2 linked regions of the Lytechinus pictus genome follow. The main gene of each other region encodes a partner of the protein of the gene in region 2 in a complex. Links are inferred from orthologs where the notes say so. Each region holds a gene or a part of one and is shown on either strand. Other genes may lie near its edges.

Evidence for each region. The genes of interacting proteins can lie anywhere in the genome.
Region 1: the proteins of WD repeat-containing and planar cell polarity effector protein fritz homolog (region 2) and protein fuzzy homolog are in contact, whole or in part, in a cryo-EM structure (PDB 7Q3D), measured with the Homo sapiens proteins. The link is inferred for Lytechinus pictus from reciprocal best matches to the Homo sapiens genes WDPCP and FUZ. Residues at the interface, in NP_056994.3 of Homo sapiens: Arg55, Ile57, Asn75, Lys78, Leu82, Glu418, Asp419, Arg420, Leu421; in NP_079405.2 of Homo sapiens: His293, Glu372, Glu373, Pro374, Arg379, Gln397, Pro399, Thr400, His401, Gly402, Ser405, Leu406.

What each region holds. Positions count from the first base shown.
Region 1 is NC_087260.1:17,863,532-17,874,135, forward strand, and holds the start of protein fuzzy homolog, read right to left. Parts: upstream 5,699-10,604; 5' UTR 5,641-5,698; coding exon 5,491-5,640; exon of another isoform or gene 5,453-5,490; intron 3,995-5,452; coding exon 3,873-3,994; intron 2,985-3,872; coding exon 2,900-2,984; intron 2,569-2,899; coding exon 2,500-2,568; intron 1,651-2,499; coding exon 1,546-1,650; intron 773-1,545; coding exon 575-772; intron 1-574. UniProt on the Homo sapiens protein: Probable planar cell polarity effector involved in cilium biogenesis. May regulate protein and membrane transport to the cilium.
Region 2 is NC_087251.1:37,385,092-37,395,695, forward strand, and holds the start of WD repeat-containing and planar cell polarity effector protein fritz homolog, read right to left. Parts: upstream 5,707-10,604; 5' UTR 5,685-5,706; coding exon 5,624-5,684; intron 3,968-5,623; coding exon 3,923-3,967; intron 3,184-3,922; coding exon 3,142-3,183; intron 2,697-3,141; coding exon 2,626-2,696; intron 1,579-2,625; coding exon 1,401-1,578; intron 1-1,400. UniProt on the Homo sapiens protein: Probable effector of the planar cell polarity signaling pathway which regulates the septin cytoskeleton in both ciliogenesis and collective cell movements.

The DNA of each region.
Region 1 (10,604 bases), on a different chromosome or scaffold from region 2:
TTTAGATCTCATATGGGGCCCAGTCCTCTGATATCAGGCAAATAGGACAGGGTTCACACTTGGCTATGACACTAGTCCTCCATATCCTCTTTTGTTTCTTCATCTCCTCCTTCTGCTACTTCTCCTCTCCTTGTCCTTCTCTAGACACCCCTTCCTCCTCCCTTCTTCTCCTACTCTTCCTCCTACCTTTCTGCATTCACTCCATCACTCCTCACTTCATTCATCTCTTCATCCTTTCTTCCCTCCAGCATTCCTTCCTTCCATCAACCTTGCATCAATCCTTCCATTCTTCCTTTTCTTCATCCCTTCCTTCCTCATTTTCATCCTTTTTCTTCCCCTTCTTATTTCTGTCTGTCGTAATTCCATCCTTCTATTTTTTTTTCACTGTTGTCCTTTCTCTCTCCCCTCCTCAACCTTACTTCCCCTTCTTCCTGTCTACCCTTCATCTTCCTCACTCTCCATTTCCTTTTCTTCTTCTAACAGTTCTTTCAACTTGCCATTATCATTAAGCTTTGATATAAAATGAAGCCTAATTGGACACTTTCACACAATCTTTTTTTTTTTAATGGCTTACCTTAGGGCTAGCGTGAGGCAGATAGATGGGAACATCACTGGATGTCCCAACGGGCAGAGACTGGATGAATTTGGCCACTAGCATCATCTCTTGACCACTGAGTGACCACCAGTTGGACGTAGCAACGACCAGCTTGCCATCAGCATGAAGACAACCGAATGTACTATCTGCACTGGTGACAAAGGCCTCCAAAGGATCCTTGTTAGAAAAAAATAGTAACAAACAAGCAAAAAATTAAATTCCTCATTTTTACCCTAATAAGAAAAAATAGTTAGGGAGAAGTGCTCCTACATTTCTGTACTGACTTACATGTATGTGTGAAAATCTGATTGACACATCATTCATACATGAGTGAACATACATTAAAAGCAAAATGTGTTTTCAAAAGTCACAGGAAATAATTTCTTATTCCAAAATAAAAGTGAATAATACAATTTTTTCCTTTATCTATATGTGTGTAGTTAACCATGACATGGCTAGAATGTCTTACATGAATATTCATAAAACATTTGAAGTAACATGAAATGATCCATAGAAATATCCATCTTCCATATTTTATCCATAAATTTAACAGATTAACAATTAATTTTTGTAGAAAGAATGAGCATTTTTTTTAATGTGTTCACTTATTAAACTGGTAAAAATGAAAAAGGGTAAATTGATTGATCATTATTATTAACAGAACATAATCATATACCAATAATATAATTTTTCCAATTTCCCTATCACAAATGACCCAAGTAACCGTTGTGGCTTTTGAAATGCCCCACTGTTGACATTTATCTAAACATTTGTTCACGTATCCATCTTAGGTACTGCATTTCCTTTCCCCTTTTTATTGATCCCATTTCTATTTTTCATTTCCTCGACCCCTCTTGGGGCTTGCAATCCCTGTGGGGGGAGGCGGTTAGTTCATCTGCCCTCCACCTCCCCCCCCCCCAAAGAAATAACATAATTGATCAAAGCTTTACCAGTAACGTAGTATTCTCTGGTGAGATAAGGACATCTACTGATGAAGTCAGAGCTCCAAACATGTCAGACTCCTGAAGAAGTACATCGATAACAGGATAGCATACCTGATATAAAGACAATTTCCAGAATTTGGGTGAACATGAGAGGACTATTAAACTTATTACAGAGTGGTTACGATCAAAACTCTGTTCAGGGGCCACCATTCTATAGCAGCCACCTGCCTATAGCGACCACTAAAACGGATTCCCATGGAGGCAGATTGCGTGGATAAAAACCTCTCTATAGCAGCCATCTCCCTATAGTGACCAGTAAAACCAATTCCCATGGAGGCAAAATGAATGTATATGTCTATGGCAGCCACCTGTCTATAATGCCACTAAAGCTTATTCCCACTGAGGCAATTTATGTGTATAAGAAATTGTTTTTAAGCAGCCACTTGTTGTCTTTAAAGGCCAGTTGTTTGTTTTTGTTTTTTCTATTTTTTTTTTTTTGGGGGGGGGGGTTCCTTTCAGTAGACATTATATGCAGGTTACACTATACTCAAACTTTTTATAAAAGTTCAGGTGTTGAAAGATGCTCAAACATGCCAATCAATGATGACATAGTTACCCGCTTGAAGCAAAAAAAATTGTTTGCTGTGACACAAAAGCATACATGAAGTGTTCGCTCAGTTGGTTATTTTTTGTACTTGCAATTATCAAGATTAAAAAGTTATCAAAATAACCTTAATACTTGACAAAATCCTGCCGAGTCATTTGGACAGAACACATAAATAAATGTACGGGACTACATGCACACTGTGAGCCGACTGTTTTACCTGTGAGGGCACTTGAGAGGGCACTTGTTGAGCAATCCTTTAAAGAAGAGCATGATGTATCCTGAATAAACTGTTCAACTTAAAATTTCATGAAAAGAATTTGAAAGCTAGCTGAAATATCATTTTTAAGACTCACCTTTATTTCTCGGCGGAGTTTTTCTACATTCCTGATACTCACAAGGGTATCCAGCCCTATGAACATAACCTGCAGCCGAAAGAAAGGACAAATGATATGAGATAACATGGATGTTTGTAAGTATTATCATCATATCTGAATGGGTCCATTAAGACAGAATATCTCCTTTAAGACAAAAAGATATTCCTGTAGAATCCTAATTATTACAAGGGTATACAGCCCTACGAACATAACCTGAAACAACCATTTTTTTTACAACCATATATAAGTAATTACCGACGCATGGCAAATTTACCAGATGCATGGCTGGTCATGCGTCGGTAATTCCATATGCATGTTGCCATTCTATAATAAACCCTATGTGGATGTCACCAGGTGAACTACAAGCAGTAGTACTTACCATTGAATGAAATATGTGGTTGAGAAGTGTATTGTAATGTACATCACAGCTTCCATCGTTGCTGGTCACCAAAACCAAGGTTACACTGTAGAATGAACAAGAAAATTAATTAATAATCGCGGCTGCCACCGACGTACTGCATTGCATCATCGACAGGATATCGGTAATGCCTTCACTGGCAAAACATACTGTAATATGCAAGTGCAACAGAAGGGATAACCATGTCCTAGAAGTTGCGTTGCAAATCTCAAATTGCCTTATAACAATTGCAGTGTAGACATCAATGTGTCGACGCAAGAACTTTTAATATGGTGTTAAAAATCGTTTTGAAAAAATACATTAATATAAAGGAGAAAGAGTAAAATATATATATATATATATATATACACATACTCCATGAATATGCCTTGCTAGTTGCTACAGTTCATAAAAGACCTAATTTTGCAACATAAAAAACCTAATTTTGCAACATAAGGAACACAATTTATAAGGAAAATCTATAAAATATATTATTTTAAAAGTCAATTGATTTACTTTTGTTCATTACATAAACATATTGTGTATATACATGTAAGTAGTAAACCCAATAAAATGGGACCACAAAACTATAAAGGTCATAACTTTCGTTTCCCTTGAATAGTTTTCCAGATTAAAATGTTTATAATAGTGGCGTATTCATGAAGACAACCTGGGGGGTGCTTCAAAAAGAGTTGCACTTAAATGCCTAGTTGCATTCGGTATATACATGTACGCTGTAAAGCATGACCGCAATAGTCAGAGGATGCGCACTATAGCATATTGATGTATAAGATTGCCATGTTGCATACCATGTATGTGTCAGCATTTAATTGCAACTCTAATTCATACTTAAATCTTTGTGAAACACCCCTGCTCTTTAAGGCCTAGGTTGGGTGGTCTTTATGTATAGGTTTCACTGTATTTGACCTTTGACCTCAATGGTCAATGTAGCTACCTGTCATGGAACACCTGCCAGATGACCTTGGCCTCTTCAGTGGTTGTACTTTCCAGCTTTACCCCATGGTTCTGGGCAAACATCTGAACGCCGTAGAGCATGCCTTGTTCAGCAAAAGCAAGCTGTTCAATGTAGAGAAAAAAGAATAACACTGATAAGACATTTTCAAGATTGAATCATTGGATTCTGAATGCCATCAAAGATAGGAATACTAACTTAATGGATGATTTCATTTTTGTTGGTGATACATGTAGTTGGATATTAACACCATTCAAAGCTTTTAAGACTGGAGTTGCAATGGTCAATGGACTTCTTCAAAGAGCTGTCTATTTTAATATTAGGAAACATGAGTCAAAGGAAACAGAATCCGAGAGTCAGGTCAGTGAGGAAACTGAACACTCAGGAGTTTAGATATTTGTTCCAGGCATCCATTTAATACTGATGCCATTCCAAAACCAATAACAAATGAATCTTGAATAAACATGTTGCAAATTTAAGCTGAAGGAAATATCCTGGTACTTGAAAAAAATGTCCAAGAAAAGACTGATATCTGATCTCCTGAAGAAGAAGTCAACATCATAGAAGATATCTGTACAATTCATCGAAAATTGAAGGATGTAGAGCAGTACTTTAGCAGGAATTTTTTCTGTGACTATACAGAATCAAAGAGTGGCCACAGGAGGCCACAGATGCAATGTCACTCAACCTGGGGAATAATTATTTTCAATTAAATTAATCATAAACCACATGACATTGATTGTAATCGTGTAGGGTCCTCCAAATCAACATGTAAATGACTGAAAATTGCTCCCACCAAGAGAGTGAAATCATTGTGTTTACAACCTTATGATTAAGAATACTGCACGGAGTCTCCGCTGAGAGTGTGGTCTGATATGCACAGACGATGTCAGGATTCTGTGTTTCACGATAGACCTTCATCAATATAATCGAGGTAAGTGCATAATTTATTTTTTCCCCTTTTATTTTGAGTGCTATTGCAACCCCATTCTACCCCATTTCGGAGAGCATATGTCCGCCTAGTATTAGACGGATCGGACGAGTCCTGGGCTCCGCGGGCCGGTGCTCCCTGGGTTTCTGCTCAAATCATTGAATTTGAATGAGTGAGCCAAGTAAACTTCACATGACTTCATGAATTAAAAACCTAAAAAAATACTCATCATATTTTCTTTCTTGACTTCACTTTGATTTATGAATGGCAGAATGCTTGTCGATCTCCGCATTTACTTTCAAACTTTCACCATTACCGGTATGCCTATGGGCTGGCATTAATAATTTATTTTTCTCCATCTTTCTGCTTTTATTAAAACCAATGCAATGACTCCTCGAAGAGAAATTTCCCTGCTTTTACTATCTATTATATATTGTTGATGTTGTCCTTTGTTTTGGGCCTATTCCAATGCCACGTCCTAGCTTTATTTTAGCTAGTCTTCTCACTCAGTCTCAGATCATGATCACACAGTCACAGTAACCAATTAAAAATCATTGACTTGGGACACACGAAAATTAAGGAGTGGGACCGAAGCCAAATACAAATACTGTACGACAAGGCTCAAACTAACATTCTTTGGTAAAATTCATATCTGTGGAAAAATCTTACGGATTTTACATCTCCTTTGGTTCGTGTAAAAAGTGGAACTCCTCCTTCGTTTGTAAGACACACCAAATGCACTGCCATGGTAGATATACGTCTTGTGAACCAAAATGTTGATAAAATTCGTCTGCGCTGCGTCAAAAAAAAATCTGTCATACACTTGACCGGTGGTATGGTGTCTTTAAACTAGAAAAAAAAAATCACATTTACTATCCCCGGTTTCCTCGTGAATAGGCCGAGGGACATAAATGCTTATATTTTGGCACAATCAGATTCTCCTTCACTCATTCATGCCTTTATCTAATATCATACTGAATATTATTATTTTTCATTCAATTTATTGAGATATTGGATCTCCAGAAAAGTGACATTTGACCCAAATGAAAGTTTTGCCTGCCCATGTTCAAATGCTGTATACAGTGCCGTTAAAAGTGTTCAGAATTCTTCATTATAAGCCATCGAGAGGCAAATAAATTATTAGCTTTAAATGCCTACATCCAAAGTATTATCCAAGGTATTAATAGAAAGATATTTCTTTTATATTCCATCAGTTATACCCACAATTATAGAGGACCTCACAAATATAATAAAAATTATGCCTATTTTTGAGCGCTCGCTCTGGTGAATGACAAAAAATAATCTCCAAGATTTAATGAAAAACATACCATAAATGATTGTAATTTCTGTTTACAAATACAAAATTTTAAAGACATGTTTGGTGTGTGGGTGTGTGTGCATGTGTTATTGTTGCATATGCAGTTATCATACAGATGGTACTAGTATAGCTGCAGAGTGGAAGTGACACACACATATAGGCTTATGTTAAACTTATGTAGATATGTACAAGAATGAAAATGTCATGTATATATAAAAACGGAATCTACTAAAACGATTTATGAGAAATATTTGGGAGATGCCTAAAGGAATTATGTTACTAACTGATCGGAACATCACAAATATTAATGTTAATATTATTATTAATGATAATAATAACAAATAATAATAACAATAATATTAATAATAATAACAATGATAATAATGATAATAATAATAATAATAATAATAATAATAATGATAATAATGATAATATTAATAATAATGATAATAATAATAATAACAATAATAATAAGAATGACAATATTAAAAGCTCTATATAGCACATATCACGTTTTGATTATAATTAACGTCTCTATAATTATGCGCCTCCAACTGAGGAATCGTATAATGTAAGTTATAAATTAATCCAGAAGATAATACGACCAAATAATATTTTCAGAATAATCATGAGAATTATCACAAATATATCACACACAATAAAATTATGATAAAGATACATTGTAAAAACTGTGGTGTTAAAACCGGCACCAGTTGGTGTTAATAGAGGACCACAATCTGAGGTGTTAAATTACACCCTAGAGATTGAACATAAACACCAAAGAGTGCAAATGTAACAACCATAGGTGTGGGGTAATAACACCTATAGGTGTTAAACTAACACTGTCAATTTATAACACCGGTGTAAAATAACTGATGTGGTCCTCTGTGTACACCGGTTAACACCACAGTTTTTGCAGTATATACAAAGGGAATCGGGAAAAGCGTATGGAGAATAAAAGGAACAAAAAAAAGAAGGATGAAATAAGAAAAATATAAAGGCAGATAGAAGTCAGAGAAAGAGAGAGAGATAAAATATGATACTTGCGAAATAAAAACTGAAAATGGAAAAATTTATCTTACATGCGTCTACCAGCATAATTTTTATTGTCGTTTAAAATTGATATTGTTAAGTCCGGCAAATTTGTTGATAGGTTCAGGTGACAATATTCACAAAGGCATTAAATTACCCTCCAATTCAATCAAAATACTAGACGAATCGTTTTCACTGGCGTGTATGAACATTTTGGTGACTTTCTTTGTTTTATTTTAAATCTTGCTATCCACATCATTTCGAATATTTTGCCGTTTTAAGTATCTTTTCCCGTTGGCAATGGTTGGGTGTGACTGACCTATGCAGGGGCCGCGGAAGCGTGTACAAAAACGTAAAAATGACCATAGGATTGTGATTTTTTGCATGGTCAGCCCCCCCCCCACACTTTTGGCTCAGCCCCCCACTTTGAAAACCGTTTCGCGGCCCCTGCTATAAACCCGAGATTGAACGAGTGAAAGATGAATTACTACATAAAATGCGATTATAAAGCAAAATTTAGGGAATTGATTCTTTAGGTCCGCTTTGTTCACATATATAATTTCTCTTTCTTTATTTTATTGGGGAAAAAATAGAATACAAAGTATTCATTACATGCTGGCTGATTCGAGGATCAGGCTTTTGTTGTACAAAGCCAGTTTAATGATGTATAGGCCTACATAATATAAAATTTAAAAAGGCAACATACAGATCGAATTTCAAGGGCAACCTCAAAAGAGATGGCCTCCATAGTTTCTATTACCCTAAGATATACTGGTATGAAACAAGATGAAAATGAAGTAAAGTCTATGCTGATATCATGTATTTAAAAAAAAACATTGCCACGACTAAATCTGGTCGCGCAATTTGTATCTTTGTATCAGCATAAATATATGCTAAGGGTAAAACCATTTTAACCAGGGGGGACCGAAGATTATTTTGATGGAGGAGGGGGCAAGTCGACATGAAGATGACATACTTTTTGTTCTCAATTGAATAATACGTACTTAGTGCATGATGCTGAAAAGTTAGCGAACCCCACCTGAAAATGAACATATTTCAAGTGTTTGTATAAGTTCTGACATGTTGATATTTAATTGTGAAGTCAGTAATTGACATATTACTTTCAATAAAGCTTGTTTCTCTGGGCTCGCCAAACATTGTTGTGTTGTTGTCTACATTCAACACTCAGCATATAAAGGAATGCATTTTCTGGTGGGGGTCACTAACTTTTTAGCACCACTGTATTATGACATGAAAATTAGGAGGGGGTAAGAGCCCAACTTATGACGCCGCCCCTGATTATAACAGTTGAATGACAAGAATTTCTCACATAGTGATTTTAATACCGGTCTGCACATGTGCATGGTGTGTGGGCCCATAGAATTACAGTTCCTATTATATATTTTCTGAACAGGAAACAACTTCGACAACTATAGGTCCCCAATTATATAGGTCCCAAATACCTTAGCGTTGTAGGACAGGGGTGTGAATAGTTACCCCCACTTGAATCCCAGTCCCCTGACTAAGTATGGGTGTTAAATTCGCATTTTGCTATGTCTTTAAAAAAAAATATATCAATATAATTATGCAATCATTATTGTCACACGATTATGGGAACCAGTATACTAAACCTGCATGGAATAAAGGAGATAAACGGGCAAACATCACTGATATTTGAAAAACTATATGATCCAAACAAGGCCAGGGACCGCGGCAGGGGTTTTAAAAGTTGGGGGGCTGGGCCGAAAATGGGGGAGGGAGGTGGCTAACCTATGAAACAAGCACAATCAGATTTACTTATGGGATTTTCTTCACGTTTATTGAAAAAGTGGGAAGGCTACACCCCCACCCCGTGGTTCATCGGCCCCTGTAAACACTTATTATGATCAATGGAAACAGATATCAAATGAAAAACTATCGAGCTTAAAACTAATGAATGAAAAAAAGGAGAACAAAAACGTTATTTTGTTTTAATCATCATGACCCTTAATGGAAAGGACTTGAACGAAATCCCATTATCATGATTAGAACTATAATACTGTATGCCTCGAGTCCATTTAGAAGTTTCCACATGAGCAGCTTTTTAGGTTTGACGAATCAAACGCATACGTGCTCTCTGACACGTACCGTTTGATTAGGCCCCCAGTTTATAGCTTTTAAGCTTTTAGGCTAATCGAAACAACTATTTTAAAAAATAACCCAATAGCGTGGATCTCACATCTCCAACAATTAAGTGTAATCATATGCTTAATACTCAATTGTAAAAAAAAAGAATAGAGAGAAAAAAATAAACGCTTCTTCGTTGACTAAGGGCAAAAATTAGTCTCACGACGTGTGAGTTTCAGAACGTTAGTTTCTTATTAATCATGTTATGTTTATTTTGCTAAATATAAATACAAGCATGTGACGATGGCCAGCTTTGCATTTTCAGTTTAAATATAAAGGTATATTCAAAACATTCGTGTATGTAATATAAAGGTATATTCAAAACATTCGTGTATGTAATACATACACGAATGTTTTGAATATACCTTTATATTTAAACTGAAAATGCAAAAGCTATGAGGATGAAATGTTATGGAGGAAAGAAAGGGCTTGTAATTTGGCTCTTTTCTTTCAAGAGAGTATATTTCCTAGAGAAAATTGAAGTATAGGTATGATTGGATTTTAATTATTTGTCATGTTTTAATATGAGAATAATGTAATTAAATGTTTCGAATTATTTGGAGCCAATTCATTTCCAAATTATTGCAGCATTTAGGCATTGTGACTCTTTTATCATTAAGGTATTTACGAAATATATAGGCCTACCTGTCGGTTTTCGTTTCGATTTTTTTTTTAATTAGCCTAGCACATCACCCGATTGCTCAGTCCACTCTTCCTCCACGTCTTCCACCCCCTCTCTTTCTCTCTCTCTCCGTCCTCTTTTCTTCAAAAGTGTGAGTAATGTTTACATGACGGACGGAGGGATGCATTTTCCACTATTATGTTGGAACAAGAGAACCAATATAGAGAGAGAGAAAAAAAAATAAGAGGAAGAGAAAAAGAGAACCTTGGGGTACAAGTTTGACGCCATGAATTACTAGCGTTTGTACATTGTTATTGTGAAGTGAGTGTGACCGGATTGTTTTTTCGCAGGTAGGTATTTCTGCCACAAATATTTATGACGTATAGGGGCATACAACAAAGAGATATCATTGAAGTATTAGTTTTTATATTGGGAAATACCTTTGGTATAAGCTGGTCATACGTCCAAGGTGAACAGTCGACAGGAATAAGCAACCCGCGCCAGCAGTGTGCAAGACAGCAGAAACAGTGTTTAAGTAAGTAATTATAGTGTACCTACAGTAAATCTACTTGATTGATCGAATGGTTCAAAGCTTCATTGACTAATCATGGAGTCATTTGTTGCTAATGTATATGTTAACCGAAA
Region 2 (10,604 bases):
CTAGAAAGTGATGTTACTGGAAACATGGTTCAGATTGTCCTATTCAAATGTCAAGAAATTCTAGTTCAGTTAGTTGAAAAAGGTATGTTGCCAATCTGCAAGCATGAAATTTTCCTGGAATTGCATCTGTACAATATATTTAAAAGAAAGTCTACTAGAATAGCATTTCAAATTGTGAAGAAAAAAAACATTTTAACGCAACAAAAGTTTTTGCAATATTTTACACAATGTCTAAATGCAGCAGACACAATAATGATATCAAGTGAAGTGGGAAGTTTCCAGTAATAATTTGGGGGGGGGGGGTATTAGATTTGGTTTGGACGGGGGTGTGCGGCTGAAGGTTCAAAACCCAGACCCAATTTTGGCTAAAAAAAGGTACCCATTATTAAGTATTTATTAAAATGTGAAAAGGAAAAAAAGGGATAAAAAGGTTATCACGCATAATTGGAGAATATGGAACCATGTTTAAGGCTAGTAACTAAAAATAAATGTTTGGGGATTTTCCAGCATAAAACCATACCCATATTCAGGGATTTCTTCCAAAAAGCGACCCATTCCAGGGGCACATCCCCGCATGCCTTATTTTATGAGCACCCCCCCCCCCTGGGGTAATGATACAGGTTTATTTCCAATTAGTCTACTTCTCAGGGTCAGATTGTCTTATAGCATATGACTTAAATCAATTTGGTCTAATATCCTTTTAGTCTAATCTCCACTTGGTCTAATACTGACTTGGGCTAACTTTCATTTAATTTAATCTATAAAGAGTATAAAGAGAATTTTCTCTCCGTCTACTTCTATTGCACTCTTTGAATTAAATTTGGTTCATAAACAGTTTATCTAATCATCTAGACTAACTGGTGTTTGACAAAATGGTAGTGAAGAGAAAATGGTAAATGGGCTTTAATAGTGGGAATTAGATTAAATAGACAAACTAGGTGTGGACAAAATGGCCCGTATTCTGAAGTCATGTTTAACTTAGACAAAGGTCTAACTCTGTACTAAAATTATGGGGAGCCAAAAATACAAATAAAAGTTTATATTGTATATTTTTTATGTTTACTGTTTTGTTTCCTTTTGTTTCATAATGAAGAAAATACTTCAGTTATCATTCCCAGACAATTATGGACAATTTGGGTGTCATATGAGTTAAAGAATTGAATGTGTACTATTGGGGATTTGTGCCCCAATTGGCTCTCCATAGTTAAACCACAACTTTAAACCAGGGTTTAATTTAAACCCGACTTCAGAATACGGGCCAATGAGATTACACCATGTGGGATGAAACCAAAAGGAAAATAGGCAAATAGACAAAGTGGATGTAAACCAAGGGGCAATTTATCATAATTAATACAATGAAGTTAAGGGTGTCTTCGAAAATATACCATGATCAAACTTACCGTGCGTGATAGAAGGAGGAACCTTTCCTTGAAGACTCTTATCAATGACCAGTCTATCAATATCCCCACTGTGACTGGCTATTTGTATAGAAAGCAACACACAGTTACTCAAAAGGAGCTGGACATTCTTCTGGGATCTCCATAGTGTAGCAACTATTTCATGACTGGCAAGTAATTCCTTTTCAACACCAACAAGAAATACAAAGAAAATAATTGTCATCTGCAATTTAACTAGCAAGTAATTCCTTTTAAAATTTAAGAACAAATACAAATAGATAATTGGCAATAATTGTGTAGTTTAGGAGTACAGTATTGTTGAACAAATATGATTAAAAGACAATCTTCATATGAGGGATTAATCTCTAATTTTACTCAAAATTCTAAGATCTATTTTATGATCTTTCTTTGACCTTGAATATATTTGTCTTTCTCTGCACAGAGTTATGACAAAATTATCTTTAATGGAGACAAATTCATTAGGAATGCTATGGAATATATCTACATAATTTGGATCTCCACTTGAATCATACATTATGATATAGTATTTTTCAAAATCTTAAGATTCATTGGTTAAATAACACAATATAAAGAATATACATTACACTTTGCAGAAAAATATAGTCAAATGATATTACCATCCATGGGAAGTGTAATAGTGATAACAAATATACATGTACAAAGCCCTGTAATACTAGTCCGCAGTGACATCATCTGGCTATAGAGTACCAAAGTGTGACGTCATAAATTTTTCCATTTTTGCATGTCAGCATTTTTTTATACCATATTTTGATAGAGCATGATAAAAACCCCAACAACCCAAATTTGGTGGGATTCGGTCCATGGGGATCCAAGATATGACCTCATGAATACATAATTAGCCCCCCATTGAAGTCAATGTTATTGGGCTGGTTCTAAATGTCAGGAACCAGGCAAATAATACATGTACATTGACTTTAATGGGACAAATTATGTATTCATTAGGTCATCTCTAAGGCCCTCTAAACCAATTCCCTCAAAATTTAGGTTGTGGGGGTTTTTCTTCATGCTCTACCAAAATATGGTATCAAAAACGCGGAAATACAAAAAAGTTTTTCTGTGATTTCACCACGTCAGTACTCAATAATAAACAACACATGACATTTTTAATTATTACATAATAAAATATCGAGCATCAAATACACAAAATGGAAATGGAATCCATAGAAATAAATGAACATCAGCCTACCTCCGCTTCTTTAAGAAGATCCCTAAGTTTATCCGGCCTTCTGTTCTTTGGTGTCCAAACTTGATCTCGACCTACAACATTGAATGATTAGATAAACACAAGAATCATATATTGATGATAAAAACTCAAAACAGACATTTGTGAATGCTAAGGAACAAAAGGATCTCGGCTAACTTCTAAATATTCTCATTTTCTGATAATGGCCATCATACCAGCAATTTGAATCAAACTTCACAATGTTTTTGTTTTATCAACAGGTATATGTATCAAGACTGATCTACAGCTGAGCAGTCTATTATAGGATTCCACAGTGTATTACTGACCTAATTATAGGACAGTCGTCCTTTCAGGTTTTCAACATTGAAATCTTGAGCATTTAATCAAAATGGAAAAGACGCTATATAAATCATATGTATTATTATTATCATTATCTGTTAATGAAATATTATTTCAGTATTTTTTATATCATTTCGAAAATGAAATTTGTATGTTCAATTGTGCTGAACCAATACTTACTTTCAAAATACTGCTGCTTCTGATCCATATATCCAGTGTTAACTAAATATAAGAAATTCAATCAAATGAAGTAACAGTTAGTGAAATAGTGTTCCAGGGATACTATTACTTTAATCATAATTTCAATAAACTGTTATCATAATATTCATAAATCAAAATTATTATTTTTATCACATGACTCTAATGGAGTCACTCCAATAATGCATACATAAACCAAGTTTGAAATTAACCCCTTGGGTGGTTCTTTCATTATCGAAAGAACGTAAAAAAGGATAGATAGATGGATGACCTGAAACCATCCACTGTGGGCAGAGTCATTAAAAGATATTGTTTGGGATATGGTTGATATTTCATAAATCATTATCAAACAATAAAACATTGAAATTAATCCCTCTTTAGTTCTTTAGTTTCAAGAGAACATAAACAGGATGGATATACCGATGGCCCCAATCATGCCACTAGCAACCATCTACATGTGTTGTGGGTGATCATAAACAAAAATATTACTTAAGTTAGCAATTAGGATTTATTAAATCTTCAAATACTCAAAATTAAAAACAGTAGAATCAACTTCTAAAATGGTTCTTTACTTCAAGAGAACATACAACAGAACAGACAGATGGATAGACAACCAAAAACAAGCCTCCAGCAACCATATACTGTAGGTAGAGTCATACATGTATAACAAATAATACATTACTTCAGCAGTTATGGTTAATATCATCATTTATTAACCAATCATTAATTATCAATTATTAAACTATTAAACTTTATGTCTTACCCATGTCTCCTTTGTCATAGTAGCTATGGCATCCAATGTTTCCATCTAAATTTTATATGAAATTATCACAACAGATGATAGAATGATGAACTATGCAAAAGCACTTTATCAATGTGCATTTCCATGTTTGGATTAATTATCATATCATCTTGGTTCAATGAGTTATGCCAAGAAATATATATTATCATATCACGTAACAGGGGCATTAATAGTAAAATAAAATTAGACACCTATCAAAACAGATATTACTTTCATGATGCAACAGACAGATTTACAACTTTCACTCTATGCTTAAAGCATCATAACATCTCAATTCATCTTCACTTGTCAAACAATTAAGGGAAGAATTAAAGTTGACAACTTTATCGGGTATTAGTTACTGTATAGTATTATCATTATTTTTTTATTATTACTATTATTATTATTAGTAGTAGTAGTACTAGTAGCAGCAGCAGCAGTAGTAGTAGTAGTATCATTATTATATTTTTATTGTTATTATACTAGCAGAGATGCCAACTTTTGGAAATCAGAATTAGGGAGGATTTGCAACCGACACCAAATTATGTGCGCATAGCGCACATCTCGAGCGCGGAGCGCTCGACCCTTGCGGCCGGGGTCGAGGGCCCGCCTTAGGGCCCTGGAAGCTCTGGGTTTCTAGATGCTCTCTGGTGCAATCTGACCCTTATTTTGGAGCATTTCACATGTTTTTAAAAAAACATTGTTCCCACTTTTTTGACATAAAAATAAAAATATCAAATATGCGTATGTAAAAAAAATGAGGGGACAATAGAAGAAAAGTACCTGTTCAACTATAATAATAAGGAATTATCCTCTTTATTATTATTAAAGCGCGGGTAACGTCTTCCTCCTCGCTGGTCCCTTGCTTGGTGAAATAAGTCAACAGGGTACTAGTGGAGCTCGAAGATCTCGTCTTCGCAATGTCCGTATGCCGTTTGCTCCCTACGTGCTTCCGAATATCATCACGACCTCCGTGCTCAACTTTAATGTCCACGCTGCAAATTGTGCAAAATGCATGGTAGATTCCTCTTTCCGAATACACGGGTACTGGAGACTGTTTTCAGTCTTATACTTCTGAGACCATTTCTTGGTCTTTTTTTGTTGATTTTCCGCCATTTCGTGTCAATATCAACCCATCAATACGCCGAAATCACACACCGATATTCCATCGCACGACTCGACAAATCCAGCGGCCGCGAGCGCACACGCCTCGCGAAGCTAGCCAGGCCTACCGGCCTGGTGCACAGTGGATTCCCGTTGGGCATATCACATGCACCAGCTTTTCGCTGCTCCTTATTTGTCTGCCTTTCACACAGAATTTAGTAGCAGCGAAACGTAATGGAGTTACTACATGCTAAAGTCAGCAGACGATACATGTACTTCCAATCCAATTTGATCAATGCAAAAAAAAATCGTAATTTCGGGAGGATAAGGATGGTAATCGTAAGGGCGGGAGTTGGGATGAATTTTCGGGAGCCTCCCGATGAAATCGGGAGGGTTGGCATCTCTGTAGTAGTGAATAAATTGACAAACACAATGGAGTAAAACAAGAACAACCATTTATAAAACTCTAATCTCTATTACAATCAATTAAGAACTTTTAATTTTTTTCAAATATTTTACATTTTTTCATATTCTTTATCAATGTTACTTTTTTAATGTTCATTTGAAAGCATATTTTACCTTTGATTCCCATAGCACCTTTCATTGACCAGATGTACAGCTCAACCAGACACCCTGCCATGTTGAAGTAAATCAAGTTTTCAACGAATAGATAACTCTAATTTCTACTTCTTCTACCATCAATGCCAGGCTCTATTGGTGACTGGGGATCTTTTGTCCTACAATGTAAATAAAAAATATTGTTTTAATGAAAAAAATATTTTAAGCGAACATTAAAGCAAACTATTTTTAAAAATAAAGGTATAAACTATATACAGTATATTTAGGTGCAATAATATATTTTGACTAAAAAATAATACAAGAATTTGGATCTGAATAAAGAGAAGGTGGAAGTCTGCTTTTCAGAAGCATCTATATTAATAAGTATCCATAAGTAGCTTTTCAAACTTCATTCAATTGTTTAATTGTTTCACATGGAAATCCTATGGCAGTAATCCTTATACATTGGGTAAGTGCATGTGTGACATAATCTCACCATCATAAATTCATAATCATATCATGAATGAAGTTGAAGAACATCTTGTGCAGCTCGTGCCTCAGACGGAAACACTCCGTACCTGTACCTCATCTCATTACCCGATTGATTCAGTTCATTCACCTGTCAAGTGCAGACACCAATCAAGTGTGCTAGTCAATCCGGTTTCATAACATTAACAAGATTATTGTCATGAAGAATAGACAATGAACTTGGGGGATTGAGGTCACTGAATCTATTTCTAGCACACTATATCCCTGTAATTGACGTCTATGTCCCGCAGGGGTAAGTGAAGAAAAAAAACTGTCCCCGACAAGGACAATCTCATTTTATCAAGACACGATGACGAGTTGTCTTGGTTTTTGAGGTCTGAGGATAACCTTGTTTCTGGGACAATCCCAATTTTTGGACCGGCGCTACGATCTACTGATTTTCAAACTACCTTTTGGCTTGCGTTGGACAGACTGGATACAATTTTCGGGATTCCCAATTTTCTTTTTTAACCATAGAAAAGACTGGAATTTGGAAAAAACTTTGGATCATCAATGATCAAGCCCGGATTACACTCATTCACGATGACGAGACGAGTTGAGATCAGATCTTTCATTGAACTTTTTTCACCAAAAAATCAGGATTTTATAATTTATGTACAACAGATGGTTACCACCACAATTCTCGACCTCATCCACTCAAGGGTTCATTACATGCCGCTGCGCACAGAAAAAACAAGCCATAGAAGTCGTGTGGTTTTTTTTCTATGTATATTTTGTTTACTTATGTAACTTATGATTAGATATGATGTCCTTCTTTCAGATTCTGTCTGACCTTTCTATATATCTCTTTCTGTCTTTCTCTCTCCTTCTCCCTCTATCTCCCTGTTGCTCTTTCCCACTCTCTCGTCTATTATAATCGCCATCATGTCACTTTCCTTCTTTTTTTTTTGTTACACATAATTCTTATATTTGTAATCTACAATTTGTTGTTTACTTGTGGGGTTTTTTTCCCTCAATTTCCTTTTTTCCCTCTTTCCTTTATTTTTGCTACATCCCCCTTTCTATTCTCACCTTTTCACATGCTTACTCTTGCCATTCTTGCTCCCCTTTCTTGCTCCTCATCTGCTCTTTTTTTAATATATAAATTAAATCTGTCTTATTACATCTGCTCATTCTATATCTTTTTATACTATTATTGCATTTTAAACATGTATATTTTTTTTCTTCTTTAATGGTCACTGCATGTTATGTATTTATATATTTCTCTGTTATGTATTTTTTTTAATGTAAACTCACATTGTTAGTCTTCGGACTTTTTGATGAGTATTGTTGAATAAAACCAAATTGAATTTGAATTTGAAAAAAGCTGTGGACACCAGAAGTGGGATCGTAGCACGCGCGACCCACTAGTTAGAAATACACTGCCAAACGCGGTTCATGGTGCGATACTGCGAGGTTAGTATACTAATACTAACCTCGCAATACGTGTGAGTGACCTCATCCGGTCCCTGGGCCTGGCTCTAACGTTAGAGTGGCGAGAGCCGGCCAGGGGCCTGTTGCATGAAAGGGTCTTTCGTAGATCCATTCTATGTAAGAACGAGATATCGCTCAACTGTTTCACAAAGCCGATTTGGGCGATACGAAGAATGGTCCTTGGAAAGACACCTCCAGACATGTCCTACGTAGGCATGATCTTCTTTGGACACCGCCCGCCACCGTCGGCATTGAGAGAAAATGCGTTTACGGCAAGCCACACTGACATATCACCTTTAAACACTTTGGGGGGTCATTCAATTGCACTCAGATGCATTTTATCTTGGATGGGGCATGGATGGCGCCAAGTCACGTTGCTGGCATCAATTTCAAAACTCCGGGGTAATGGCAGTTTATAATCACTCGCGTCGCGTGCGGGTTCGTAATCACTCGCGTTTTGACTTTTTGGCGATTTTTTTTATTTCGGTGCGGTTTTTTTTTTACGGTGTCTTCAATGGGACAGACATGCAGGGAAATAAAATGAAGTTGAAATTCGAGTTTCGTTTTAAGCCAGCAAGTGCCTTAAATAAGATGTAGGCCTACTCGACTACTGTTTTAACATAACAAACAAGCAAATCAGCCATGTGGCTCAACTAACTTAGAATAGATCCGGACTTCTACTGTGTCTTATAGAGGACTCCGAGTCGGAACTTGCCATATCTGCCACATCGATATTACATCGTATCATTCCCATATGCGGACATGCATGCCTGCATGCAATGGCCCCAAGGCGGCCGGACCCGACCGCGTACGGACACGACGTGCATCGGTAGCATGGAGCAAGCTAGTTGAGTCGAGTTGAGTTACATATGAGGCGCCGATTGTACCAATATTATATAAAACAATTATTTGTTATATAATCATAATTTATTATATAATAACTATTATTTATATATAATTTACATTTTATTTGAAAATAATTACTATTATATAAAATAAAATTTCTAATTATTTATATATAATTCCAAGTAATACTTCATTATTTGTAAATAATGATGATTTGTTTTCATTATTTATAAATAATGATTATTTGTTTTTCATTATTTATAAATAATGATTAATTGTTTTTCATTATTTATAAATAATGATTATTTGTTTTTCATTATTTATAAATACTGATAATTTGTTTTCATTATTTGTAAATAATGAATATTTTTTTTCATTATTTATAAATAATGATTATTTGTTTTTCATTATTTATAAATAATAATTTTTGTGTTTCATTATTTATAAATATTGACACTGCATACTTCATTATTTATGAATAATTGCAATTCGTTTTTCCATTATTTATAAATAAGTTTTTCGAGTTTTCTATTATTTGTAAATAATAATTATTTATTAACAATGCCAGTCCACATTTCTTTATTTATAAATAATTTGTTGAGTTTCCCATTATTTATAAATAATGATTATTTGTTAAATAATGAAGACATCTACTTCATTATTTATAAATATTTTTTTTGAGTGCGCCATTATTCTCATTATTTATAAATAATCATTATTTAATGTTCGAGTTTTCCATTATTTATAAATAACGATTATTTGTTAAATAATGAAATATCTACCTCACTATTTATAAATAATGAAAATTCATCGTGTTTCATTATTTATTAATAACAATTTTGTTTCAATATCCCATTAATTATAAATAATCATTATTTATAAACGATTTTTACAATTTGCCATTATATACAAATAATCGTTATTTATATACAAATAACCATTATTTATAAATAATGAAAAACAAATAATCATTATTTATAAATAATGAAAAACAAATAATCATTATTTATAAATAATGAAAAACAAATAATCATTATTTATAAATAATGGAATGTCGAACTATTATTATTTACAAATAATGAAGTATTACTTGGAATTATAGATAATTAGAAATGTTATTTTATATGATAGTAATTATTTTCAAACAAAATGTAAATTATATATAAATAATAGTTACATAATGATTATATAACATATAATTGTTCTATATGATATTGGTACAATCGGCGCCTCATATGTAACGTGGGATCTAACTCAGCTCCACTCACGTTAGCTTGCTCCATGCTACCGATGCACGTCGTGTCCGACCGCGGCCGGGTCCGGCCGCCTTGGGGCCATTGCATGCAGGCATGTCCGCATATGGGAATGATACGATGTAATATCGATGTGGCAGATATGGCAAGTTCCGACTCGGAGTCCTCGTATAAGACACAGTAGAAGTCCGGATCTATTCTAATTTACTTGAGCCACATGGCTGATTTGCTTGTTTGTTATGTTAAAACAGTAGTTGAGTAGGCCTACATCTTATTTAAGGCACTTGCCGGTTTAAAAACGAAACTCGAATTTCAATTTCATTTTATTTTTCCAGTACGTTTGTCCCATTGAAGACACCGTTAGAAAAAATCGCACCGAAATAAAAAAAAATCGCCAAAAATCAAAAACGCGTGTGATTACCAACGCGACGCGAGTGATTACGAACGCGAGTGAATATAATAAGCCGGGGTAATCTAGGCCCAAATGATTTTTTTAAATATGCTTTTTTTTTTATTTCCTCACATTTTCTCCCTCTTTCTCCATCCCCTTTCCATTTTTTAAAAACCAAACTTGAAATATCGAAACGGGCAGCAACCTCTCTGACCCCCATGCTTTATCATTAAATAAATATTATGAAAAAATATGTATCGTAAAGAAAACATGTGTTTATAACGTTCAGCAAAAAAATAAATAAATGAAATAAAACACGATACAAAACTGAGATGTTACTAAACATGCTAAATCATTTCTTTCTTTTTAATCTATTTTCTTTATCATGATTATTTTTTGCTGATATTGATGTCAATCAATGAAAATTGTTGAATTGGTGTTAAGGTGATGAATGAAAAAAAAAATCTGCCGGTAACAAAATAACTAATTGAATTAAAAATATTAGGTCTATAGTTTATGAATCCATCACAATCATTACAAATAAAGTTAA